Linked DNA regions of Anolis sagrei. The protein of the gene in region 1 interacts with the protein of each later gene in a pairwise test. Links are inferred from orthologs where the notes say so. Each region holds a gene or a part of one and is shown in the gene's direction. Other genes may lie near its edges.

What was found.
Region 2: the proteins of BANP (region 1) and SH3RF2 interact in binary tests that used the Homo sapiens proteins (3 or more experiments, as listed by UniProt). The two-hybrid records come from large-scale screens. The link is inferred for Anolis sagrei from reciprocal best matches to the Homo sapiens genes BANP and SH3RF2.
Region 3: the proteins of BANP (region 1) and TNXB interact in binary tests that used the Homo sapiens proteins (3 or more experiments, as listed by UniProt). The two-hybrid records come from large-scale screens. The link is inferred for Anolis sagrei from reciprocal best matches to the Homo sapiens genes BANP and TNXB.
Region 4: the proteins of BANP (region 1) and FHL2 interact in binary tests that used the Homo sapiens proteins (3 or more experiments, as listed by UniProt). The two-hybrid records come from large-scale screens. The link is inferred for Anolis sagrei from reciprocal best matches to the Homo sapiens genes BANP and FHL2.

The regions. Positions count from the first base shown.
Region 1 is NC_090028.1:25,809,854-25,817,052, forward strand, and holds the start of BANP (protein BANP), read left to right. Parts: upstream 1-4,189; 5' UTR 4,190-4,308; intron 4,309-7,199. UniProt on the Homo sapiens protein: Controls V(D)J recombination during T-cell development by repressing T-cell receptor (TCR) beta enhancer function. Binds to scaffold/matrix attachment region beta (S/MARbeta), an ATC-rich DNA sequence located upstream of the TCR beta enhancer.
Region 2 is NC_090022.1:97,525,378-97,532,834, forward strand, and holds the start of SH3RF2 (E3 ubiquitin-protein ligase SH3RF2), read left to right. Parts: upstream 1-4,448; 5' UTR 4,449-4,671; intron 4,672-5,055; exon of another isoform or gene 5,056-5,162; intron 5,163-5,755; 5' UTR 5,756-5,906; coding exon 5,907-6,287; intron 6,288-7,457. UniProt on the Homo sapiens protein: Has E3 ubiquitin-protein ligase activity. Acts as an anti-apoptotic regulator of the JNK pathway by ubiquitinating and promoting the degradation of SH3RF1, a scaffold protein that is required for pro-apoptotic JNK activation.
Region 3 is NC_090022.1:15,434,140-15,441,229, forward strand, and holds the start of TNXB (tenascin-X), read left to right. Parts: upstream 1-4,070; 5' UTR 4,071-4,280; intron 4,281-7,090. UniProt on the Homo sapiens protein: Appears to mediate interactions between cells and the extracellular matrix. Substrate-adhesion molecule that appears to inhibit cell migration. Accelerates collagen fibril formation. May play a role in supporting the growth of epithelial tumors.
Region 4 is NC_090023.1:105,899,802-105,906,806, reverse strand, and holds the start of FHL2 (four and a half LIM domains protein 2), read left to right. Parts: upstream 1-3,979; 5' UTR 3,980-4,084; intron 4,085-4,092; exon of another isoform or gene 4,093-4,266; intron 4,267-7,005. UniProt on the Homo sapiens protein: May function as a molecular transmitter linking various signaling pathways to transcriptional regulation. Negatively regulates the transcriptional repressor E4F1 and may function in cell growth.

The DNA.
Region 1 (7,199 bases):
AAATTGCATTATATGGTCAACGTAAAGCCATACAGTGAAGGTTCTTGTGGGTTTTTTCGGGCTATAGGGCCATGTTTTAGTGGCATTTCTCCTGACGTTTCGCCTGCATCTATGGCAAGCATCCTCAGAGGTTGTGAGGATGCTTGCCATAGATGCAGGCGAAACGTCAGGAGAAATGCCTCTAGAACATGGCCCTTAGCCCAAAAAAACCCACAAGAACCTAGTGATTCCAGCCATGAAAGGCTTCGACAATCCATACAGTGAAGTTTGGAATGCCATGATATGATCAACACAAATCCATACAATATAGTTTGAATTGCATTATATGTGCCTATACTGGTCATATACTGCCATTTAAAATTGCATTATATGACAGTGTGGATGGGACTCCGGTTCCGTCCTGCAGTTTGAATCCACTTGAACCACGAGGGCTCAATGCTATGGGATCCTGAGATTTGTAGTTTGGCAAGGTCTTCAGTCTTCCCTGCCAAAGAGGGCTGGCTGGTGCCTGACCTAACTACAACTCCCAGAATTCTAGATCACCGAGCCAGGGCAGTGCAGATGTTCTTCTTTAAAAGTGGTCTTATCTAAATACTAAGTATATTTAGTTTTTTGATTTATAAAGTACCATGAACTTTGATGGCTGCATATAAATGAACAAGGAAGAAAAACGATGTTTACTATGGTGCGTTTTATTTTGATTCAAGAAAAAATATCCCATCATAACACAGCATTGACAGAAGAAACAAACATGTTATTTATTTATTTTATTTATTTATCGTGTCAGTATCAACCAGACAATTGTATTACATTTTAAACAAATTTTTAACAAACAGACAAAACAGAGTTTGCAAGCTTGGTAGTTGATTAAATGTCCTTTGACCAGTATCTGGCCGCTTGGAGTGCCTCTGGTGTTGCCGCAAGGAGGTCCTCCATTGTGCATGTGGCAGGGCTCAGGTTGCATTGCAGCAGGTAGTCAGTGGTTTGCTCTTCTCCACACTCGCATGTCGTGGATTCCACTTTGTGGCCCCATTTCTTGAGGTTGGCTTTGCATCTCGTGGTGCCAGAGCGCAGTCTGTTCAGCGCCTTCCAAGTCGCCCAGTTTTCTGTCTGCCCAGGAGGGAGTCTCTCATTTGGTATCAGCCAAATGAGAGCCCTCACAATTGAGGTTCTGGGTTTGAGCCTGCCACTTTTGGACTCTTGCTTGCTGGGGTGTTCCAGCGAGTGTCTATGTAGATCTTAGAAAACTATTTTTCTAAGGGGGACATGAAAGAAGCCTCCTTGCAGGATTGCAAGACATCTGGGCATCCCCTGGGCAAAATCTTCGTAGACAACTGATTCTGTCACTCCAGAAGCAACCAGAAGCGACTTGCAGCATGCAAACAAACATGTGCGTGTGTGTGTGTCTATATATATATATATATATAATATAATATAATATAATATAAAACATATTATTTATATATATTATAATATATATTATATGATATGATACATTTTTAAATAAAATAATTTAAATATAGTATAATATATTATTTTATATATATACCTATGGGCCCTCGGTGGTGCAGTGGGTTAAAGCACTGAGCTGCTGAGCTTGTTGACCGAAAGGTCGCAGGTTTGATTCCGGGGAGCGGCGTGAGCTTCCACTGTCAGCCCTTGCTTCTGCCAACCTAGCACTTTCAAAACATGCAAATGTGAGTAGATCAATAGGTACTGCTCCGGCGGGAAGGTAATGGTGCTCCGTGCAATCATGCTGGCCACATGACCTTGGAGGTGTCTATGGACAACAGATCTTCGGTTTAGTAATGGAGATGAGCACCACACCCCAGAATCAGACATGACTGGACTTAATGTTAGGGGACAACCTTTACCTTTATATATACCTTTATAACATAACATATATTATACTTTATATATTGTATATATAATATAGATTACAATATACATTATATTATAATATATGATAAATTTTAAAATAACTTAATTTATATATAGTATAATATATTATTGAATATAATACCTATATAACATAATATATATTATATTTTATATAAATAATCTATATATAATATAGATTATAACATGTTGTTGTTGTTGTTCATTCGTTCAGTCGTCTCCGACTCTTCGTGACCTCATGGACCAGCCCACGCCAGAGCTCCCTGTCGGCCGTCACCACCCCCAGCTCCCTCAAGGTCAGTCCGGTCACTTCAAGGATGCCATCCATCCATCTTGCCCTTGGTCGGCCCCTCTTCCTTTTGCCTTCCACTTTCCCCAGCATAATTGTCTTCTCTAGGCTTTCCTGTCTCCTCATGATGTGGCCAAAGTATTTCAATTTTGTCTCTAGTATCTTTCCCTCCAGTGAGCAGTCAGGCTTTATTTCCTGGAGGATGGACTGGTTGGATCTTCTCGCAGTCCAAGGCACTCTCAGAACTTTCCTCCAACACCACAGCTCAAAAGCATCGATCTTCCTTCGCTCAGCCTTCCCTAAGGTCCAGCTCTCACATCCGTAGGTTACTACAGGGAAGACCATGGCTTTGACTAGGCGGATCTTTGTTGCCAGTCTGATGTCTCTACTCTTTACTATTTTGTCGAGACTGGACATTGCTCTCCTCCCAAGAAGTAAGCGTCTTCTGATTTCCTGGCCACAGTCTGCATCTGCAGTAATCTTTGCACCTAGAAATACAAAGTCTGTCACGGCCTCCACGGTTTCTCCCTCTATTTCCCAGTTGTCAATCATTCTTGTTGCCATAATCTTGGTTTTTTTGACGTTTAGCTGCAATCCGGCTTTTGCGCTTTTTTCTTTCACCTTGATTAGAAGGCTCCTCAGCTCCTCCTCGCTTTCGGCCATCAGAGTGGTGTCATCTGCATATCTGAGGTTGTTAATGTTTCTTCCAGCAATTTTCACCCCAGCTTTGGATTCCTCAAGCTCCGCACATTCTCGCATGATGTGTTCTGCATACAAGTTAAAAAGGTTGGGTGAGAGTATGCAGCCTTGCCGTACGCCTTTCCCAATCTTGAACCAGTCTGTTGTTCCGTGGTCAGTTCTGACTGTTGCTACTTGGTCCTTGTACGGATTCCTCAGGAGAGAGACAAGGTGGCTTGGTATGCCTATCCCACTAAGAACTTGCCACAATTTATTATGATCCACACAGTCAAAGGCTTTAGAGTAGTCAATGAAGCAGAAGTAGATGTTTTTCTGAAACTCCTTGCCTTTCTCCATTCTCCAGCGGATATTGGCAATCTGGTCTCTCGTTCCTCTGCCTTTTCTAAACCCAGCTTGAACATCTGGCATTATGTATATATATGTTATAATATTATATATATACACACACACTCTCTCTATATATTATATGTATGTATAATATGTATATATATATAGATTATAACATACATTATGTGTATATATATAATATATATATATATACACACACTCTATATATATTATAATATGTATTTATAATATTATATATATAAATTATAACATACATTATGTATATATGTATGTAAATATATACACACCCTCTCTCTATATATTATATGTATGTATGTGTGTATATATATAGATTATAACATACATTACGTATATATATATGTATGTATAATATATACACACACTCTCTCTATATATTATAATATGTATTTATAATATTATATATATATAGATTATAACATACATTATGTATATATATATTATAATATGTATGTATAATACACACTCTCTCTATATATATATTATAATTTGTATGTATAATATATACACACTCTCTCTATATATTATAATATGTATGTATAATATATATATATAGATTATAACATACATTGTGTATATATATTATAATATGTATGTATAATATTATATTTACATATATATATGTGTGTGTGTGTGTATGTGTGTGTGTGTACTGTATTTGCTGTATCTGGAGGAACACTTGCAGTTGCAATGTCAAGATGCAAGCCTGAGCCACTCTTTGGGTTTAAGGACTTCAATTCCCAGCGCGCACTGCGCCCTCCCTCTCTCGCCCTACAACCCCCAGAAGGCGCGAAGAAGCAACCCTTCGCGCAAAGCTCTCTGGGAGCCGTAGTCCGGCGGCCGGCATACCACTGGGACTGCGAGTGGTGGGAGGCTTCCACTGCGCCTGCGCCAGGAGAAGCCCAGCGGAGGGAGGCAGAGCGAGCGCGCGCGCCCTTTGCCTGTGCGCCTGCGCAGTCGCTTTCTCCTTGGAGGATCTCTCGCGAGGAAGGACGCCATTATCGCACAGAGCCACCCGATTTCCCAAACACCACGAGAATTCGGCCAGGCAAACGGTAACCTCGCTTCTTCCTGCGGCGGGCGGCTGAGGATGGAGCTGCCGGGTCGGGGCCTCCTCCTCTGGCGGGGTTTCTCCTCACGGCGCCGGAACCGCCGCAAAGGCCCGGTTTTCTCCCTCAGAAAGACTAGGCCGAAAAGAGAGGGGGGGGGGAGCGGGTGGGCGGGGCTTATGAGGGGGCGTGGCTTGGCTCCAATGGCCCCGCCCCCTTAGGGCTGGGGTTGGGGTGATGGACTTCTACAAAGTGGAATGAAAGCCTCGAGCCTTTCCCATTCAAGTTGTAGTTCAAACTGGGTTAACTTTTCGGTGTAGATTCTTTCTGGCGGACGACATTAGTCAAAGCATTGTATAAAATTACCTTCTATTTATTATTTACTTATTTATTTATTTACAACATTTATATGCCATCCTTCACACCCCAAAGGGGACTCAGAGCGGCTTACAAGATATATTATTTATTTAAAACTTTTATATCCCAATCTTTCCTACATCAGACCGGCTATATATATGCATACAATATATTACAGTGGTTCTCAACCTGGGGGTCGGGACCCCTGGCGGGGGGGGGGGTCGCAAGGGGGTTTCAGAGGGGTCGCCAAAGACCATCAGCATTTTCTGTTGGTCATGGGGGTTCTGTGTGGGAAGTTTCACCCAATTCTATCATTGGTGTGGTTCATAATTCTCTGATTGTAGGTGAACTATGAATCCCAGCAACTACAACTCGCAAATGTCAACGTCTATTTTCCCCAAACTCCACCAGTGTTCATATTTGGGCATATTCGGTATTCATGTTTTGTCCAGATCAATCCATGTTTGAGCTTCAAACTACAAGAGAGGAGATTCCATCTGAACATGAGGAAGAACTTCCTGACTGTGAGAGCCGTTCAGCAGTGGAACTCTCTGCCCCGGAGTGTGGTGGAGGCTCCTTCTTTGGAAGCTTTTAAACAGAGGCTGGATGGCCATCTGTCAGGGGTAATTTGAATGCAATATTCCTGCTTCTTGGCGGGGGGTTGGACTGGATGGCCCATGAGATCTCTTCCAACTCTTTGATTCTATGATTCTATGAGTCCACAGAGGACTCTGGATGTAGGTGAACTACACCTCCAAAACTCAAGGTCAATGCCCACGAAACCCTTCCAGTATTTTCTCTTGGTCATGGGAGTTATATGTGCCAAGTTTGTTTCAATTCCATTGTTGGTGGAGTTCATAAAGCTCTTTGATTGTAGGTGAACTATAAATCCTAGCAACTACAACTCCCAAATGACAAAATCAATCCCCCCAACCCCACCAGTATTCAAATTTGCTCCAGTGAATGAAAATACATCCTGCATATCATATATTTACATAATAGCAGTAGCAAAGTTGCAGATATGAAGTAGCAATAACAATTTTATGCTTGGGGGTCACCACAACATGAGAAACTGTATTAAGGGGTCATGACATTAAGAAGGTTGAAAACCACTGATATATTATATTGTTAGCATAGTACAATATCAGTATTATATATTACTATATTGTACTATACCATTATATTGTAATATTATTAGTAATATTACATGTAATATAAAATATATAATTATATTATATTATTAGTAGTATTATATTGTATTGCATTATAATATTGTAAATATTATATGTATATACAATATAGTATATTATATTACTAGCATAACACAGGAGACAAGATGGAACTGTCCCCTGGCCTTCCCTCTCTTCACTCTGGCCCAGAGCGGCAGTTGGTGGTAATATATCTCAATATATTTTGGACTTCAGCTCCCAGAAGCGCCTACCAACATCACCAATAGTTAACATTTCTTGCAATTGAAGTCCAAAAACATCTGGAGGATAAAGGTCGAGAATATTTCAGACTTCCTGTCCAAACTTTGTTCAAATCACATGTCTGGGTCTTAATGTTAAATGACAACCCATGCAAAACGAGATCTTGTCTTATTTGTGAGTTAAAAGTTGTGATCCAAAGAAAAATCATGAGAATCCTGGATAGAGAAGAAGATAATTCAGGTTAAGGAGGATTGGACTCCTTGTCTTTAAGGTTGTGATTTGTGTGAGAATCCTGCACAAAGAGCAGTTGGGAACAGCTTAGCAGATGGGTCAAAGTGCTTCAGTTTGGGATGAAATCCAATTCTATCACTATAATAATAATAATAATAATAATAATAACAAGCACACACACATATATATAATGCTATAATATATATTTATATAATATGAAACACTATAACGTGTGTCGCAGTGGGTTAAAGCACTGAGCTGCTGAACTTGTTGATCGAAAGGTCGCAGGTTCGATTCTGGGGAGCGGCGTGAGCTTCCGCTGTCAGCCCTAGCTTCTGCCAACCTAGCAGTTCGAAAACATGCAAATGTGAGTAGATCAATAGGTACCGCTCCGGCAGGAAGGTAACAGTGCTTCATGCAGTCATGCCGGCCACATGACCTTGGAGGTGTCTACGGACAGCGCTGGCTCTTCGGTTTAGAAATGGAGATGAGCACCACACATGATTGGACTTAATGTCAGGGGACTACCTTTACCTTTACCTATATTATATATATATATAATATAAAACACTATAACATATATATGTTATAAAACAATTCCTGTGTTACATAGTGATATATGTTTTATATCTTATAAAACAATTCCTATGTTACATAGTGTTTTTTACACACACATAATATCTTATAAAGCAATTCCAGTTACATAGTGATTTATATATATTATATAAAAGCTATTATATATATATAAAATGTATATAAATACTTTCTCCCTCCATCTTCCCTTCCCTTCCACGCTTTCGTTCTTCCTTCCTTCCCTCTTCCCTCTCTTTCTCCTTCCTTCCTTCTTTCCTTCCTTCCTTCCTTCTGTCCCTTTTGTCT
Region 2 (7,457 bases), on another chromosome or scaffold:
CCATACTGGGCCACAGCAATGCGTGGCAGGGGACAGCTAGTAATAAATATAGCCCCCCCCCCTCCAATGGGGGTTCTCACAATGCTCAATTATAGTATTATGGTTCCACTTTAACTGACTTGTCTGCATCCTGGTGTTTGTAGTTTGGCACTAGAGCAGTTCTCTGTCTGAATACTGAAAATATTCCTCCCTAATCTGTCAATCCTAGAATTGCACAGGATTTTACCATGGCAGTTGAAATGGGATAATAGTGATACAATTGTATAGCCCCTTGAGTTCAATGTGTATCTAGTGGTGATGGTGGGAGGGGTGCTAAGTGGAGGAGTTGCTTCTGGCCTTCTTCTTTATTTCTATGTTAGGGGCTTTAAGTCATATTCTTACTAGATTTTAAAGAATGATTATAAATAAAAAATAAGAAGGCAAAATGAGGATGTAGATGTGTAGTATACAAACAAGGGACAGCATTAAAATGATAGACCCACAGGATAATAGAGTTGGAAGGACCTACCAGCTATTAGGACTTATGGAGTTGAAGTCCAAAACACCTGGAGAGCTGAAGTTTCCCCATGCCAGCTCTAGCCCACCCTCCTGCCATACAGCAATACACCACCAAAGCACTCTTGAAAGATACCCATCAACTTCTGTTTAAAGAAATCCAAAGAAGGAGGGTCTGTTGACCTATGATGAAATCATTTCCTTTGTTGAACAGCTCACAAAAAAGGGTCTTCCAAATGTTTCAATACGACTTAGATGAAGGGTTAGAAGGCAGGATCATCAAGCTTGCAGACGACACCAAATTGGGAGGGATAGCCAATACTCCAGAGGACAGGAGCAGGATTCAAAACAATCTTGACAGATTAGAGAGATGGGCCAAAACTAACAAAATGAAGTTCAACAGTGACAAATGCAAGATACTCCACTTAGATACTCCACTAAATAGGAAGTGAAAGAAATCTACCCCAGGAAGAGAAATTCACTCCTGAAAGTATTCTCATGGAGAAAAGGTGTCTCAGCTGAAGGTTTCTCTCCTATCCTTGTTTCCACAACAAGCCAAATGTTTCAAAATCTGATTATTGCAGAGACAGAAAGTTTCGTGAAATTTGGGCACAGGCAACAAAACAAACACCACATATATGTCTGGAGTTACACTGAAAAATGTATCTGCTCTGACATACATACAAATTCAAATTAGTAACAAACCTACAGAACCTATGTTGTTTGTAACTTGGGAACTGCCTGTATGCCATTTGGTCAGGCCTCTTGATGCTGCATAACAGTTTACAAGGAAGTAATTGTAAAACAAATGAATGACAAATTAATAAACGTACAGCCATAAAACCCTGTAATGTATGTTGACAGTTTGTCAGAATTTCCAGTGATGAGTGAATATATAAAAAAGGTGGACTGAGATAAAATACATTTATAATTGCAGAAATGCCAAACACTGTAAGCCTCTTGTGGTTCTTCTCAGCTGAAGGTAGCTGTCACTTCTGCAAATGAGGTAGAGAAAAGAATAGGACCATTTATTACAAGAATTACAAGTTCCTTTCCTTCTTACTTCATGTCATGCTGCATCCACCCTACTGGGAGCCTGCCTCCGCCCACAGGCTCCCAGTTACTTTGTATCCAACTTTTCCTTACCCAAGAGAAGCTCCTCAATGCAACGCCAACTGATTATATTACAATCATTATTGTGAGCACATGTGTGCATATATCATATATGTGTACATTTTGTGTGGACACAATGGGCTCTAGGGCTAAATGTATCCTTTCCAACCTTCAGCCCATCCAGACTTCTCAACTGTCCTTTTACTTGTCATTAAAAAGGGAATATTGCTTTTCCTAGAGGTTTCCAGGATTAGCAATTTACTTTTTAAATAGCTTATACTCCACCCTTCCCTGTTAAACTATTTAACTTTAATATGTATATTTATATCTAAACCAGAAGGAGCTCCAGCCACATTCAGATTTCTGAGTGAGGGCACTTTTATTGGTTCATGTGGCTCCAGAGGACCCTAGGGACAGAAGTTATAACATTATAACATTAATTAATTTAAAATGTTTATATTAGACCCTTCTCATCCCACAGCAGACTCAGGGTGGAGCACAATATACAGAAAAATTTAATGCTGGGACATAAACTATTAATATACATAAACATTAACATCAGTTATATCGACTTTAAAATCAACTGTTTAAAACCATCTCAGGACACGATTCTATTATTGCCTCATTGAACTGCCCAAAGGCTTGGTCACCATCCTTGTAAAGGACAGGAGGGAGGGGGCTTATCTAATATTGCCAGGAAGGGAGTTCCATAGCCGGGGGCAATCACTGAGAAGGCCCTGCCTCTCATCCCCACCAAAGGCACCTGTGACGGTGGCAGGACCGAAAGCAGGGACTCCCCAGAAGACTTTGTCTTTGTGGTAGTTCATAAAGGGGGATGTGTTTGGACAGGTAAACTGGGCCAGGGACGTTTAAGGCTTTATAGGCCAAAGCCAATACTTTGAATTGCGCCCAGTAGTAAACAGGCAGCCAGTGGAGCTGACATAACATGGGAGTTGTATGCTCCCTGTATACTGCCCCAGTTATTAACCTGGCTGCCTCCCATTGGACTATTTGAAGCTTCCGAATAATCTTCAAAGGCAACCCCACATAGAGTGCATTGTAGTAGTCTATCCTGGATGTAACGAGAGCATGGACCTCCGTGGCCACATCTGATTTCCCAAGGTACAGGCGCAGCTGGTGCACAAGTTTTAATTGTGCAAAAGCTCCCCTAGCCACCTCCGCAACCTGAGATTCCAGGCTCAGCAATGTGCCCTCCAGGAAGACTTCCAAGCTGTGAGCCTGTGTCTTCAAGGGGAGTGTTACCCCATCCAGCACATATACCCTGTTCAGCCTTGCAACTGACCAGGAGGACCTCTATCTTGTGTTCATTCAACTTCAATTTGTTCACCCTCATCCAGACCGTCACTGCAGCCAGGCACCGATTCACAACCTGGACAGCCTCCTTAGAAACCGGTGGAAAGGAGTATACCGCTGGCGTCGAATTCCAAAACTCCAAATGATCTCACCCAATGGCTTCATGTAGATGTTAAACAACATGGGAGACAATACTGAGCCCTGCGGAACCCCACAGGACAATGGCTGCGGGGCCGAGCAGGTTTCCCCCAAAAACACCTTCTGGATATGATCCTCCAGGTAGGACTGAAGCCACTGCAGAGGACTACCCCCAAGGCCCATCCTTGCAAGGTGACCCAGAAGGATACCATGGTCTATGATATTGAAGGCCGCTGAGAGGTCCAAGAGAAGCAACAGGGACACACTCCCCTGTCAAGCGCTCTGCAGAGATCATCCACTAAGGCGACCATGGCTGTCTCAATTCCATGACCCGGTCTGCGACGGATCCAGATAGTCAGTTTCGTCCAAGAACCCCTAGAGCTGCAAGGCAACCACACGTTCCAAGACTTTGCCCAAAAAGGGGAGGTTGGAGACTGGTCAAAAGTTGTTCAAAGCAGTGGAATCCAGTGAAGGTTTTTTCAACAGAGGTTTTATCACAGCTTCTTTTAAGTTCACTGGAATTTTGCCTTCCCAAAGGGAGGCATTAACCACCACCTTTACCCACTCTGCCAACCCCCACCCCCAGGCTTCCTTTATCAGCTAGGATAGACGGGTCCAGGATGCACGTGGTCACTCTCACCTCTCCAATAATCTTGTCAACATACACCTATACATATAGGCTGAGTGGACAGGGCAGGAGAAGTCCACTTCATCAAGATTTCAGTTGAAGGCAATGCTTTCCTAAAGTAGTTGTCCACAACAATAAAAACTGTCCCTTAGGGGAGCATTAAAAAAACTCCTATACCATCCTACTGGAATTCTAGATTATTAGAGAAGCCCACAAGTATCACCGAGGTATAATATGCTGGCTCTTTTACCAGTACTATGCTTGCCAATTTAGGCTCTTATTTTAGATTTCTCATGTTTTGTATTCTGCAGTGAAAATGTTGCAAAGAAACTTTTTAAACACTGTGACTTAATCCTATATAAACACAGCCATCCCACAAAAAGTCAATTACATCTCATGTTTTGCTCTGCCTTGGTACAGTACAGATCTGTATATATCTACTCAGAAGTAAGTCCCTTTGAATTTCAGTGGGGCTCACTCCCAGGGAAACCAGTACTGGACTACAATCTTAACCCCCCACAACTGCATTCCTTGTGTACTTCATGTTTTTCTTTGCCTTTGTGTGCAGACTCTCCATGGTTTTGTTTTCTCACCCTTCTACACACCTCCTCCTTGGTTCCTAAAACAGATTGGCTTCATAAAAAAAAGGCTGAGCCAATTTATTGATCAAAGTTGCACTGGTACAAAGCCAGATTAGCTCAAGCATTTTTTTTCCTCCAGGAGAAAAATGCACCAACGGTTTCCTCTTTCTTAGTTAATAATTCTGTTTCCCTGTTCTCACTTGCCTGAAGTATATGTAGGAGTCACAGGCTGGCAAGCTATGAGTTAACAAGGCAGCATGTGTTAAGTTGAGCTAAGTGAGTAATGCACCTAGTTAAAGTTTTCAATGCGGCTGCAATTTGGAGAGTGAGAAAAGGGGAAAGCAACACCAGGAGCAGTTATTCCGTGAGCTGAACTCGTTTTGAAGGGGTCATGAACACAAGGTCAGTGGTACTGCCAAAAATTAGTAGACTTTCTTCCTTTCTTCCTTTTCTTCACAGTTTCCTCCTTCAAATGGAAGCCATACTCTGCGAAAAGCTTTAGCACTTATAGCTTATGACTCTTCCCAGTAGTGTGTAACTTGTTCAGTGGCCGGCTAATGATTTGAAGTGTTATATAACGCAAGATTTTTCAAGGTTTAGGATATAGAAGGACAGGAGCACCATTTGGCAGAACTGATCTGAGTATGTTTTCCTGATTTTGAATACACAGGCACCTTGGTGTAATATGGGATGGTGCAGGTTTTCCGCAGGCCATGACTTGAATTCAGGATTAAGTATCTGTTTCACTTTAGCTTGCAAACTGTCGGAAAGGTGCTAAACAGGTTGAGTTGCTTTTAGGCAGTGGGAGGGTTTTCCCCCCTTCTTTTGGACGATCAAAGCAAGCTACAATACTGCCAGTCCCTGAAATCAAGAAATGCTGTCTGAACTTCCAGGTACGCCAAAGCAATGTTTGCCATCAAAGTGACTTGCAAATGAGAAAATATAGAAAATTCAGCAATGCTTTTTAAGATAATGCGAAACATTGTGGGTGGTTCTCAGAGAGTATGTGTAAGCGATGCCTGATTTAGAAAAGGAGAATAAAAAGGGTAGAGTGTGTTAAGCCATGTGTGTCAGTGGAACACCTTCTTTCTTTATCTGGTGTGCACATTTTACTGTTTTCACTGGATGTTTATTTTGGGGGGTGCATTGTTTTAAGGTAGAATGATCCTTCATCAGTACACCCATGGAAGATTGTATTGCTCTGGGAGAATCACATCATGGAAAAAATTAATTTCTCTTGTTTTTAATCTTTAGTCAATGAAACATGGGTCTTTCCTGACACTCATTAGGCAACAATTCTGCTCACTGGCATTTATTTGCAAATTATTATTTTTCTGCTAAATTTGGTTGTGTGGGGTTGTCAGGGAATACATGGTGCAAATTGGATCATGAAACATTGCTACAAAATGTAGGTGGCATACATTTCATAACACTGAAGTTGTCAGGTTCTGCAATTTCCCCCTCTCTCTTCTTTTTCTTCACACAGGATGTTGATTTTCAGATTCAAAAATTACATGAATCCACAAGGTTCATGGTGAAATATTCCTGAGCAACTGTCCTTTACTCCAATAAACATTATGTGGATTTTTCCAGCTCTCCATTTAACATTAAAATAATAGTGTAACAACTGCCCTAATATGGGCGATTTAGCTTTATTTGACATGTTGGAGTGCCCGTTGTGCTTGGGGAAGCTGGATATTTCAGCCAAGGTGCTCCCCTGCCAACACACTTTCTGCAAGCCTTGCCTCCAGAGAATCCTGAAATTACACAAGGAGTTGAGATGCCCAGAATGCCGAGCCCCTGTCCTCTGCAGAATCGAAGAGCTTCCTGCCAACTTGTTTTTGATCCGCTTATTGGATGAAATCAGACTTGGATCAAATGTCATGAAGTATGGCTCACTTCAAAGATATGGGACTCTCTCCTCTCCCTCTTCCCTCAGGAGAGTCCGGGGAGAGCCAAGAGCTTTGCAACTCCACCAATATGGGCTGACTTCCAATCCCAGGATCCCTATAGAAGGGGTAAGAATCTTCCCTTTCTCTTATCATTATCTCAGTTAGTAGATTTGTAGGCCATTTTTCATTGTAAGGGTGTTGGATAGATTCAGTTTATGCCAAAGCTGGTTGCCTTCCTTCTAAGCTACCGAGTTATCTTAACTGGATCTCTGCAGCAACTTCGTTTTTAGGTGTAAATTTATTCTGACTGGAACAATTTCAAGCTAAGAGCCTGGTTCCCATGTTTTCAAGGGATTGCTCTCTCCAGCTGAGCCTGAAATTGTACAGAGGCTTTTCAAAGTGACGTTAGAGTCCCTTCTATTTCCAGTCTTAGATTAAACCAGGGAATGGAAAAAATGTTTAGATGTGGGAGAGAAAAACAACTTTCACACCTGTCGAGGATACAGAAAGGTTTGATTTTTCACAGAACCTTTTTGAAAATAATGATTTATTCTGTCCTGTTACAACATGAGCATGGGGGAGGGGGAGTCTTTGATCCTTTTAAAGGGATGTGGCAGGATCTGAGTATGGATAAAAAGTAGGTCAGCTGTGCCCTAGATTCTCTTGTTCCTAGTCATACCAACACTTTTCTCTGGGGTCTTACACAGAAAGCTCCTAGCAAGTTCCACCCCCTCCACACATATTTGACTTTGCACATATTTTGGGGGATCAAGTGTGTTGATTTGGCTCTTGGCATAGGTGGAGGATTCAGTCTATAAGAGCGAAAGCCTCCGGGGTTTTATACCTTTGACTCTGAATGCTTCTTAATATGGTTTTGCAAAAGCATGACTTTGCAGGAAGCTCTTTGAAACTAATTATGCCTTATATAAGTATACTCCTAGGGAAAGCAGATGCATTTTTAGAGTTCTGATTCAGGTTTCCTTCATCGGTGGCTATTTGTTGTGAGACATCCCTGTAAAGAAAAAAGGCATTTGAAGGAAATCTCAGTTGTGAAAAAGACACCAGTAAGGATAGGTTTAGGCAAGCTTGTTCCTACTTAATTCTGTGTGGTATCATCTTTGATTGTAATTTGTTGGAGCAGCACCCTAGATAAACAGCCACAGCAAGTTGTAATTGGGGAAAACAACCCAGTGTCTTCCACACACACCCCATACTTGTCAAACTTGAAATTATCTGTAACCTAGATCAATCGCATACTAAGTGCCTATCACTAGAGTTTCACCCATCTTCTCATAT
Region 3 (7,090 bases), on another chromosome or scaffold:
CCCATATCAGGAGAATGATAGGAATCACATCCTTTGGCATTTGACAAATGAAAATCAGATGAAGCAATTTCAGAGTGTGGTCAGAATGGGAAAGGTTATGATTGAATTTTCATACTCTGTTCCACAGGGCAGTGTCACCACAGATAAGGCCCTATTTATAACACTGACCAACATGTATATTTATATTTATATTTTATTTTTGTCGAAGGCTTTCATGGCCGGAATCACTGGGTTGTTGTAAGGTTTTTTTCAGGCTATATGGCCATGTTCGAGAGGCATTCTCTCCTGACGTTTCGCCTGCATCTAGGACAAGCATCCTCAGAGGTAGTGAGGTCTGTCGGAACTAGGAAAATGGGTTAATATATCTGTGGAGTGACCAGGTGGGACAAAGAACTCTTGTCTGTTGGAGCTAGGTGTGAATGTTTCAACTGACCACCTTGATTAGCATTTGATGGCCTGGCAGTTGTTTGGTGTGGCTTGTTGGTGCCTGGGGATTGCTGGACCACTCTAACAACCACCATGTCAGACTACACGGAGAAACCATTGAAATCCACAAGCATGTGGACAATTTCAACAAAAAGGAGGAAACCATGGAAATGAACAAAATCTGGCTACCAGTATTTAAAAAACTCTAAAATTACAACAGCAAAACAACAGAGAGGAAACAAAAGATTGCCCCAGGCACCAACAAGCCACACCAAACAACAGCCAGGCCATCAAATGCTAATCAAGGTGGTCAGTTGAAACATTTATACCTAGCTCCAACAGACGAGAGTTCTTTGTCCCACCCTGGTCATTCCACAGATATATAAACCAATTTTCCTAGTTCCAACAGACCTCACTACCTCTCTGAGGATGCTTGCCATAGATGCAGGTGAAACGTCAGGAGAGAATGCCTCTAGAACATGGCCATAAACCTACAACAACCTATTTTATTGTTATTTACAGTATTTATATTCCGCCCTTCTTACCCTGAAGGGGACCCAGAGCCAATTACAGAACACATATATGGCAAACATTCAATAGCTATTATACAGACAAGTCAGACAACTGTATATAGATGGAGGTAACTATATAGGCTTTCCCATCTTCGACATCTTGAAGGCTTGCTCAGTTCTTGCCACCGGGGGTGCTGTTGCTCCACTTTCCTTGCCAAAGAGCTTTGTTCGTAAACTTCCTTCCTGGTTGACTTGCCAGCCTTTTTCTGGCATTTCGTTATGGGTGCCTTAAATACCTCCCTGCTTAAGCGGTATCTATTTATCTACTCCAGGGGTCCTCAAACTAAGGCCCGGGGGCCGAATACGATCCTCCAAGGTCATTTACCTGGCCCTCGCTCAGGATCAACCTAAGTCTGAAACGACTTGAAAGCACACAACAACTACAACAATCCTATCTCATCAAGCAAAAGCAGGCCCACACTTCCCATTGAAATACTAAGTTTATATTTGTTAAAATTGTTCTTAATTTTAATTATTGTATTGTTTTAAAGTGTTTTTTGCACTACAGATAATATATGTGCAGTGTGCATAGGAATTCATTCATGTTTTTTTTCAAATTATAATCCGGCCCTCCAACAGTTTGAGGGACTGTCACCTGGCCCTCTGTTCAATAAGTTTGAGGACCCCTGATCTAGTCACATTGCTGTTTTTGAAAGTGCTAGGTAGGCAGAAAGTGGGCTAAAGGCCAGGAGCTCACCCTGACCCAGTCTTCGAAGTGTCAACCTTTCAGTTGGTGGTTAATCTGCTGTGCTAAAGCCCAGCCCTATTTTTATGCCTCAGATATTAGATATCTTTTTGGGTATATTTGACCATTCCAAAAATTGCACCAAATTTCACCTCTCAGTTCTAGTTTTTGAGATTTGGAACATATGCCATCTACCAGTCACCAGTGCTTACCCATAGAAAATCAAGGATTGCCACATCTAAGAAACTAGAGCTAATGTGGACCATCTAATGCAATATTCAGAATGAGTGCCCCCAAATACCTCCAGGACAGGCGGAATATAAATACAGTAAATAAATAAAATAAATAAACAAACAACCTCTGGGTGTTTCTTGCCTAAAAATGCCAGTGGATTTGATGGGTTTGGCATGAACATGAAGTCATACACACACACACACCCAAGAAAATTGGAACTCCGTTCAGGAGGGAATATGTTTGCATGTAAACACATTTACACGTGAAGTTTGGCACCAATTTAACTGCCATGGCTCAATGCTTTGGGATCCTGGCACCTGTAGTTTTAAAAAGGTCTTTCACCATTTTTGCCCCAATTTATTTATTTGCTTTATTTCTATACCGCATTTTTCAGCCTAATTCGGCGACTCAATGCGGTTATCACCCAAGGTGGTGATACCTCAACAAATACCATCTCCAATGATTCCATAGCACTGAACCATGGCAGCTAAAGTAGTGACAAACTGAGGAGCGGCTTAAAGAGCTGGACATGTTTAGCCTGCGGAAGAGAAGAGAGAAGACACGATAGCCATGTATAAATATGTCAGCAGAAGTCATAGGGAGGAGGGAGCAAGCTTGTTTTCTGCTGCCCTGGAGACTAGAACACAATGGAACAGTGGCTTCAAACGACAGGAAAGGAGATTCCACCTGAACATGAGGAAGAACTTTCTAACTGTGATTGCTGTTCAGCAGTGGAACTCTCCTTCTTTATTATTATTATTATTATTATTATTATTAACTTTATTTGTACCTCGCTACCATCTCCCCAAGGGACTAGGTGCGGCTTACATGAGACCGAGCCCAAACACAACAATACAAGCAATAAAACAACAATAAAGCAATTTAAAAACATAGAGAATAAGATAAACAACATTATCTATAAAATACACACAATTAAAAACAGAGGGGAGGCCAAATGTAAAGTTAAAATTGGAAATATGCTGGGACATGAACAGAAGGTGATACTGGTGTTTGTGAAAGGGCATACGAGCAGACTTAGAAAATGTAAAGTGCTTTGGAGGACAAAGTGCTATGGGATCATTATTCTGGGAAGGCACACTGGAACAGCCACGTCTTGAAGTTCCTCCTGAAGACTGCCAAAGTTGGAGCCTGTCTGATGTCTTTAGGGAGTGAGTTCCAGAGTCGAGGGGCCACCATCGAAAAGGCCCTCTCTCTCGTCCCCACCAATCACGCCTGCGATGCTGGTGGGATCGAGACCAGGGCCTCCCTGGATGATCGAAGAGATTGTGTGGGTTCGTATACAGAGATATGGTCAAGCAGGTAGGCGGGTCCCAAACCGTTCAGGGCTTTGTAGGTAAGAACCTGCACCTTGAATTGGGTCCGGTAGATGAAAGGCAGCCAATGGAGCTCCTTAAACAGGAGGGATGACCTCCCTCTATAAAGAGCCCCGGTTAACAACCTGGCTGCCGCCCGTTGGATCATCTGAAATTTCTGGGCCATTTTCAAGGGCAGCCCCATGTAGAGTGCATTGCAGTAATCCAGTCTAGAGGTGACTAAGGCTTGGACCACCTTGGCCAGATCCGCCTTCTCGAGGTGGAGCCTTTTAAACAGAAGCTGGATGACCATCTGTTGGGGGTGCTTTGAAGGCGATTTTCCTACTTCTTGGCAGAATGGGGTTGGGACTGGATGGCCCATGAGGTCTCTTCCAAATGTAGGATTCTATGATTTTGTGATTCATTCTATAGTGTAGATGCTCCTATAGTGTGGGACAAAAGAGGGGAAAGTAAACAAAATAGGGTTCTTAGGATAGCAATCAAATATATTAACGAAGATTGTTTTTCCTCCTAAGGAAGGAAGGAAAAACAAGACAGAGGCAGCGATAAAGAGAAAGCAATACGGTAAACAGAAAGGGGGGAAGTGTGATGGAAATTACAGGAACAAGTGTGTTGGAACACAAAAGTTGTGCATGCATCGCCTTTGCGGTGTGTGCCAAGATGTTTATCAGTGATTCCCATTATGATCTCATGGGGTTTCTTGCGTGTCTGAAGGCCTCTGCTTCCAAATTGAACAGGGAGCAAAGGAGTGTCTGTGTGTGTGTGTATGTGTGTGTCTGTGAGTGTGAGCGAGTGATGCACATATGCTTGCTCACACCCCGGCAGTGTGCTGAGCCAGAAAATCCAACGGCCAGCACTGTTCTCTCGCCTCCTCTCCAGGGCAGGAGAGAGAAAAAGACGCACAGAGAAAGAGAGGGAACGAAACAGAGAGGCGGCGGAGGAGGGCAGCTCTTCTCTCCATCAGCACCCAACTTTTCCAAGTAAGAAGAGAACTTTCTGTAGAGAGCTGGTCTGGCTAAAGATAGCACGGTGAGTTGGAATCTATAGGCAAAAGGCATGAAATGCTTCATATGAAATACTAGTGTTTGCTACATTTGTAAAAGGAAGATTTTACAATCTTCCTTTTATTAAAAGGGGAGAACGCTGTCAGGGTGCATCTTCACTGTAGAATGAATGCAGTTTGACACCACTTTTGAGTACCAAGGTGCAATGGAATGGAATCCAGGGAGCTGTAGTTTTTTAACATCCTCTGGCAAACAGTGCTGGTGCCTCACAAAACTACAAATCTCATCATTCCATCACATCAAGCCATGGTGATTAAAGTGGAGACAAGCAATGTGTCTGATGTGTCACCAAAAGTTGGACAAGTATTTTTTTTAATTGTGTTAGAAGTGACTTGAGAACATACCGCAAGTCGCTTCTGGTGTGAGAGAATTGGCTGTCTACAGAGACGTTGCCCAGGGGATGCCTGGATGTGTTACCATCCTGTTGGGAGGCTTCTCTCATGTCCCCACAAGCTAGAGCTGACAGACGGGAGCTCACACCGTCTTGCGGATTTGAAACGGCAACCTTCAGGTCAGCAACCCAACCTTATGGACTGGAGCGAAGTGCAATATATCTCTCGATATGATGCTTCATGGATGTGAATGTACATTGTAGTTGTTTTCTTAAATTTGTTTATCTTATGGTGCTTATATTTATTATTGATGCATTCTGATTGTTGTTTATGTGATTTTAATATGTTGTAAGCTGCTTTGCGTTCCGTGAGGGAGAAAAGTGGGATATAAATAAAGATTCATTATTATTTATTATTTGGGTCAGCAGTCCAGCCGGCACAAGGGTTTAACCCATTGTGCCACCGCAGCTCCAGTTGAACAAGGGACTTTTCAGAATGCAAGTTCCAGAATCCTCCCCCACCAGCATGTCCTTACTAATGGGGTGAATTTGGGGAAATTGAAGGTGCATATACACTATAGAATGAATGCAGTTTTGACACCACTTGAACTGCCTTTGTTCTATGATATGGAATCATGGGTGCTGCAGTTTTACAAGCTCTTTACCCTTCTCTATCAAAGAAAGCTGGTGTCCTACCAAGCTACATATCTCACAATCCTGTAGCAAGTAGTGTACAACTGCATTCATTCTGTAATGTAGATGCACTGCATTCATTCTGCAGTGTGGATGCAGTGTAGATGCACTCAAGCTCTATGTTGGAGAGGCAGAAAGTTGTTCCTATCTGAGCATTCGCCTGACTCAAGCTCTGTATGAATGGATGGGTAGAGTGAGAGGATAGAATGGATAGGCAGATGGAGAAAAGATGGAAACAAAGGTAAATTCTAGATTAGTCTTTTTCAATGCTTGTAGCATTTACCTCCCCTGAAAGAATTTAATAGTCCAGGAAGTCTGGTGAATTTATAATCTGGGTGAGTTTTTCTGTTGCTTCATCATCTCCAGTTATCTCTTATCACTGGGGTGTTGTGTATTTTCCTGGCTGTACAGCCATGTTCCAGAAATATTCTCTCCTGATGTTTCACTGGCATCTATGGAGCCCCCGGTGGCGCAGTGGGTTAAACCCGTGGGCCGACAGGACTGAAGACCGACAGGTCGCAGGTTTGAATCCGGGGAGAGGTGGATGAGCTCCCTCTATCAGCTCCAGCTCCTCATGCGGGGACATGAGAGAAGCATAGTGTCTAGATCTAGGGAAGTAATGCTACCCCTCTATTCTGTTTTGGTTAGACCACATCTGGAATATTGTGTCCAGTTCTGGGCACCACAATTCAAGAGAGATATTGACAAGCTGGAATGTGTCCAGAGGAGAGCGACTAAAATGATAAAAGGTCTGGAGAACAAGCCCTATGAGGAGCGGCTTAACGAGCTGGGCATGTTTAGCCTGAAGAAGAGAAGGCTGAGAGGGGATATGATAGCCATGTATAAATATGTGAGAGGAAGCCACAGGGAGGAGGGAGCAAGCTTGTTTTCTGCTTCCTTGGAGACTAGGACGCGGAACAATGGCTTCAAACTACAAGAGAGGAGATTCCATCTGAACATGAGGAAGAACTTCCTGACTGTGAGAGCCGTTCAGCAGTGGAACTCTCTGCCCCGGAGTGTGGTGGAGGCTCCTTCTTTGGAGGCTTTTAAGCAGAGGCTGGATGGCCATCTGTCAGGGGTGATTTGAATGCAATATTCCTGCTTCTTGGCAGGGGGTTGGACTGGATGGCCCATGAGGTCTCTTCCAACTCTTTGATTCTTTGATTCTATGATTCCCACAAGGATGATAAAAACATCAAATCATCCAGGCATCCCCTGGGCAACATCCTGGCAGACTGCCAATTCTCTCACACCAGAAGCAACTTGCAGTTTCTCAAGTCGCTCCTGACACGACAAAAAAACCCCAAAAACAAAAACCCAGCATCTATAGCGGGCATTCTCACAACCTCTGAGGATGCCTGCCATAGATGCAGGCAAAACGTCAGGAGAGAATGCTTCTGGAACATACCCGTACAGCCCGGAAAATACACAACACTCCAGTGATTCCAGCCACGAAAGCCTTCAACAATATATCTGTTATCATCCTTCCAAGTGGTGGATTCTGCAGTTAGTATTTATTTTATTTATTGTGTCAGAAGTGAAATGAAAATACAGTTATAATGTAGAGAAAAACCAGTTTAAAAACTTGGCATGATACTACATTTCTATTGACCAGAATCTGGCCACTTGGAGTGCCTCTGATGTCGTTGTGAGAAGGTCCTCCCTTGTGCATGTGGCAGGGCTCAGGCTGCATTGTAATAAGTGGTCTGTGGTTTGCTCTCCTCCACACTTGCATGTCGTGGACTCCACTT
Region 4 (7,005 bases), on another chromosome or scaffold:
GGAGCCCATCACATGATGTTGAACTACTTTCAGCTGCCATGTGTTCCATCCATCATTGAAATGAGCCTGAAGAAAGGAGCTCCCACCATGGCTGAGTAAAAGTCTTTTGAGCTGCTGTTGTGATTTGATCCACTTTTTAAGGCTAAAACACATGGAATAGAAACTATACTCCCCTGTCGTGTTTCATTGCTGCAAAATGAGAGACAGCTATTGCAGACAGAGAGCAATGGAGAGCAATGTTTGGCTGGGGAGGTGGTGGCAGAAGCAGCAGAGAAAAAAGAGAAAGAGAAAAAGAGAGATTTTTCGGCTGATAGAGAAGAGGGGGGAAACAGAGAGAATTTGACAAGCCTTCCCCAGTGTGATGAATGTGAAGGCAAGCTACAAGGGGTCAAGAACACTTCAAGAAAACAATGGGATGGGAAGGAGTAAAAGTTTCATGGAGTGATTTGCAATTGAAAGGCTTTATTGCAATCGCTATAGGGACAGACCTCCACTCTTCTCTACAAATATGTAAGTCCATAAGATGGAAGTCCAAAGTTGATAGGAACTCAGAGTTTGTTATCTGTTTGAGCAACCTCATAGGGAAGCTTTGTCATATTTTATTATTGGAAAAAGTAAGCTTATTACAAGCTGAACCACTGAATATGCTGGCTGGCGTATTTGGGAATTGTCGCTCAAAAAAAATTGAACACTTCTGACATTTGGAGGATGATGAGAAAAGCAACCAAAGTCTTACTCATTCTTGCTCTATGCATGCTAATTAAGGCCAAATAATAGCACATCCGAATAGAGCTTTTGTCTTAAAGGTTAAGGAGATCAGGGCTCCCTCTGACAGTCAGCATGCTCCCAATCTGATCGGATTGTCTTTAGCAAACTAAGGACATTATCTCAAGCACATCAGGTAACATCACACATGGAGACAGATGGAACTTCCAGATACATGTAGAGACAATTAAAAAAGAAACCAATATGTTGGCTTACCATTAAAATTGTGTAAGTATATGTGGAATGAGTTTGTACAATTCCCTCTTAAAAGAGGTGATTTTGCCAAGTGCTCAGTAGCTCAGTTATGGCTGGAACTCACATTCTGGGCCACAGAACCCAGAGAGCCTCCAAACAGTTTCCAACAGGAGCATAAAAGAGGTTCTCTGTCCACAGCAGAATGAGCCACTACTTACTAAGGCAAGCATGGGTTAGTGCACAACTCTCTTAAAAATAAACGGAGATCTCACACTATATTGTTATATTGTCTGCTTTAACTACCATGACAACTTTCTTTCCCATTCTGAGCTTTGTAGTTTTGTGAGGTTCAAGAAGTCTCTGTCTGAGAATTCTAAATGCCCTTTCCTAAATGCAAAATCTTGGGATTTAGCAAATTCTAGGATTTCATATAATGTTGTAATGGTTGTTGAAGGGAATTATAGCTCTATAACAATGCAGAGTGATAGCTCTCTGAGTGGGTGTACCATACAACAAAACACATCCCAAGACTTCAGATATGCCACCTTTCTTCAATTCCCAGACTTCCAGAACCTGCAAAAATACATTTTCCAAACTCTGGAACCTATCATTGTGAAGAAAAGGTTGGGACAAGTTATAGGACCCAACCCTTCCACACAGCCCTATATCCTAGAATATCAAGGCAGAAAATTCCACAACATCTGCTTTGAACTGGCTTATCTGAGTCCATAGTTGAACTGGCTTATCTGAGTGCATGTTCTGGGATATAGGGTATGTGGAAGGGCTCTTAGGTAGCAGCTTCAAGAAGAGGATTGTTCCCATCATGTTCCTTCACTGACCAGGCTACATTCTTTATCTTGAGCACAGAGATGTAGTGGTGAGAGAAGACAATGTCAGATTTCATCTTATCAATCTCATCTTTACCTCCCCTTTTGTCTAACAATTTTAGACCCCTCACCTCCTCCCCCCTCCCCCACCCTCAGGGAACAGTACTTATCATTATGCAGATATTAATTTAATTGAACAATCGTGAAAAGAGAATGGTCCAGCTCTTTATATCTTTTGTTTCATTTGACTTTTTCTATCACTTTTTCCCATTTCTGAACCCAGGTCTTCTTAAATCTGCTTATTGTATATTTGGTTCTTCTTTCATAGATGTAATCCTGAAGCATATAATCTGCTAAATATTCACACCATTTTTTAACTTTCTACTTTCTATGGTCTTTCCAACCCAAAGCCACAGTTGCTTGGGTGATCTTTCATTTCTAATCCTCTTGTGCTTCTTCAATTTTTTCCCCTTGATATACACACATACACAAAGCCAATAAGGAATAAAAGATTAAATAGCAGTACTGAGTGCGTATGGAGGCCTTGACCTCTTTAAACATTCCTATGAAGACCCTATTCAAGCATTCCTTTATTTGGCATTTATCAATATACCAGGAATATGCCTTTTGACTGATAGAGCTCAGACCATCACCTGGAAGGTACCCAAACACTCCTTTCTCCTCGGTATCTTCCCTTTGTATATGTGGTTTACTAAACACAGTTTTTTTGCCTTACTCATAAGCACACTATTATTCACAGGAAGACTTATCATGACTCGAAGAAATGCCATCTGAGCAAAGCTACAATAGAGCAACTCCCATTAATATAATGGTGAATAACAGGCAAGCTGGGAGAAGCAACAGCAATTTGACTTTGCCTGAGTCTAGTGGGAAGGGCAGGACTCTGGCCTCTTAACTGCAAGCAAATTTTGCATTTTGAATTTAAGGCACTTCCAGATAGCTTCAAAATGCAAGTTTAAAAACTGGGGAAAAAATCCTGGATCTGAGAGCAAGTTCACACACAGACCTGTCAGTCCCAGGATATGGTCCCTCACCATCCTTATGCCTTCCTTTGAAGCAAATCAAGATGGGGGAGGGAAGAGGAACATCCAGTAGAAGTTTTTGAAAAAAGAAATTCTCTCAGAAATGTGCTGGATCTCATATGCACACATGCAGAGATCTACTACACACAAGCAGATTTCTAATCTCTCTTTTCACCCAACTGTTAATTCAAGCTTTGTTTAATATTATAAGAAAGAAAGGCATGGTTGCAGAGAGTTCTAATTGCTTTCTGATTGTGCTTCCTGTTAGCTACCCATGTGTCCATGACTCAATTTTTGACAGTTTTGGGCTTTTAAAACACATGTGCTGGAGCAGTCCACACAGGGGATGGGAAGGAAGTCATGTGTTTTCCATGATTGCAGAGATATACTGTTACACATAGATTTGCATTTTTTGGGCAGAATCGGGTTTTAAGCTCACTTTTTAAACACGTGCTTTTCAGCTGTTAATCCGATTCTCTCTGCACTTTCTACAAACATCTTTTAGACATCCCACTCCCTTTTATCCCAGTTACTTCCAGGTTTTACTGCATGTGTAGAAGGCCCCTTAGTTTGCATCATTTGAAGAAGGACAAAAGGGAAAAGTGGGAGGAGAAGTCAGAAACTGGAACATTTTCAAAGCAACTGCGAAAGTGGGCTGACAGAGAATTAATCAAAACTGTCGCAGTCAAATCAGGAGTGTATATCATTGTTGGAATTGAAGTGTAGATCATTTTCTGAATGCAGGATGGTGGAAGGCAGGAAAAACAGAAACCAATTGGTGGTCAACATTTATAATAATTATTTCTGTGGGTAGTAGTATGCAGAATACCCCAGTTAGCATGGCTACTGGGCATTCTGGAGTTGCAGTCCTGAAAAAAATCAGTCTAAGCTTTGTATAGGACTCACTGGTTGTAAAAATGTTCTAGAGAGAAACATGCTTAGCCCTGTGGAAGATACGGAATGGCCTCACGAATAAAGGGAGCAAAGTTGTTCTTGCTCCCATCACAAATGCATGGCCCCATTAACAAATGATTCCTTAAAAGGCCGTCTCCTGCGGAGATGCTCTGGTTCTTATCGCTCAGGATGGCTGCTTCTTTGGAGATAACTGTATTTATAGCTCATCTGGCAAGGGAACTCTTGACAGTCTAATTGCTAAATACATAGTTTGGGTAATCCAATAAAGCAGTAAGCCTCCGTGCCGGCCTTTGTCTCGCCTCACTCCCTGACTGGAACACACAGACGCCATCCAGCAAGGTAAGCGCAAAAAGGATAGTGCTTTCATGTTCAGGAGCCATTCCTTTTGTCACCCTGCAGTGCTGTTTTGGGGAGAACCTGAAGAGTCCTAAAGGAATGTTGAGGATTTCCTTTCTTCTGTTATTTGCAAGGAACATCAGCATACACCACAGAGTTTAAAGAGAACCCACACCTCACACCAGGTAATCAAGAGCCGGTGTTCCCTTTCATCAGAGGTTATCTTTACATGCTTATATGTTGTTAAAATGTCAAGAGAGTTCAGTGTCTTACTATCTTTTCACTGGATAAGGGAAGAGAATATAGGGTGACATTGCTATTGTGTGCCTTGAAGACATTTGTGACTTATGGAAAGCCTAAGGCAAATCTATCAGGAGCTTTTCTTGGACTGTGTGACTCAGCCAAGGCTGCCCAGTGGGTTTCCAAGGCTGAGCAAAGAACCAAAGTGGTTTCTAGAGTCTCCTTCTTTGGTGGTCTTTAAGTAGAGACTAGATGGCCATCAAGGGTGATCTGATTGTGTTTTCCTGCAAGGCATGAGGTTGGACTGTATGGCCTTTGGGTCTCTTCCAGTTCAATGATTTAATGCTCAAACCACTACACTACAATAGTACAATCTTATTCCAGTCTACCACACAAAAAGTTCAATGGGACAGCAGGTAGATTTGCTATTCCAATTATTTAACATGATTTGTCTTGAAATGCATTGTCTTTTTCATTTATCACAAAGAGAGAGAGACTGCCTGTCATTTGGGGGTTCCTTAATATAACTGTATGATCTGACTTCTGTATGTAGATCTGGAAAAAATATTTTTAATTTTCAAAAGACACCCCTCCCAATTGCTTGTTTTAAAAACTGAGAATTATCTTATCGTCTTTGAGGCTACAATTTTGCATACTAAAGTGGAACACCTGCAAGTAAGAAATGTTCCCTGTTTAAATAAACTCTATATTTTTCTAGAAAAGTATGTGGGAATCTTTAACTTTGTGGAATTTCAGCAATCCTCCTGTGTGTGCTTGACAACTTGTGGAGTTTATCACATTTGTCATGGGTTTTTTTCTTCTTCTCTCAAAGTAAACAATTACAAAGGAGAAGTCTTTTGCGATATGTGGAGATGGAATTATATTGTTTTGGGGAAATGATTTCAGATATTTATATGTTCCTTTGGCAGCTGTGTATTTGGAAACGGGGTCATTAAAAGGTAGCAAAACTCTATATAGCCTTTTGTATTCTTTTCTTGTTGTTTTTCTGAGGCCTTAGATGATCCTGGCTATATATTTTGAAGTAGTGAAGACTATGCTAAAGGGAGACAGTGGGCTCAGTAATCTGTGTGAGACTACATAACCATCATGCGAAGTAGCAATTACAGCTGCCAAACACCCATTATAAAGCGTTCATCGCACCAAATTGCCTTTTAAAGTGATCTCAAGGGAGTGCTGTGTTTTGTTTGCAAAGCATGCATACACAAGGGAGTTAGAGGGATTGTATATGAATTTTTGTATATTGTGTAAATTAATATGGGCAATTGTTTTCGTTTACTGTTTAGTTTCTATTACACCCCAAAGGCTGAAGATCAGTGAATGGGAAAATATGTTATTTTAGTTTGAGGAGCCAACATGCAACCTAACCATTTCCAAACCTATGTCCAGTATAGTGGTTCAAAATAGAAGTATCATATGTACTCATATGTAAGTCTATTTCATGTATAAATCGAGGGAAGGTTTTGGGTTACGGTTATAAATGAGTATATACAATAAGTTAAATAGTTTAGAAGTAAATCTTTGGGACAATTGATGTTAACAGATTTGCCCCAAGGAACTCGGAAATTATTGTTTCCATTCAATGTTTGATGTTTTGTCTTATGTCTGCTATAACAGGCTGTGCTTTTCATTTAATTTTAGTTGTTAAGTCATAATTTGTGTTTATATGCTGGGTTGGTTAAATTTTGTTAGTGTGGATGTATTGTTGTATTCGGGCATTGAATGTTTGCCTTTTATGCTTGGAATCCACCCTGAGTCCCTCCGGGAAGATAGAGTGGAATATAAATTATTATTATTATTATTATTATTATTATTATTATTATTATTATTATGTGTCCCTGATGAATGTCACTTTCTTTTGATCTTTGTCTGATCCATGACCCAAATGCCATTACATTAATTGGACATGCGGATGGAAAACTATCTGGACAGGAATGACAGCCCTATTCTCTCTCTCCCTCTCTCTCTTTCACACACACACACACACAGAGAGAGAGAGAGAGAGAGAGAGAACCAATATTCTAGTTGCAAAGCAGTTGTTGTTGTTATATCTTAATCTGGGAGTTGGCAACTGTAGAAGGCTATGTGGAAATATTAGCTCCCAGGAAACTTTGGAGCCACATTTTCCTCCCTGAACCCCTTGCAGAAATCATATTTCTTGCCCCATCTGTCAAAACACACTCTAGGAACAAAAAAAAACCTAGTGAAAACGCCCACTCTTGTAGAGGGCATTTGAAGGCATTTCGACTCCCAAAACTAAATTTTTATACCCATGATGCTAGGAGGTCCACAAAATTGCTTGGAGTTTCTTATACCCTTTGCAGACCTTCTGCTTTTTTCTTACATCCTTATTAGAACTTCTGATTTTGTACAGGGCAAATAATTATTAGCGGAATGTTTCTTTTTAAAAGTCTGCCTCTATATTGACCTGCTGTACTATCAATCTCCTCCATAGTCCAGGAGTACTGCTTTGCCTGACAGTGATGATTAGCTAAGTGAAACCTGGCTGAGCCAGTTTCATGGTTCATAAGTTTTAGAAATTGAGTATGAATGAAGAGTGTGGTTTCCCCTTTATAATACAAATATGATAACTGGAATTTATTTATAGGCTGCCTCTTCTGTTATCACACCCAGAATGGCAGGGACCGGGCAGGTGCATTTTTGGA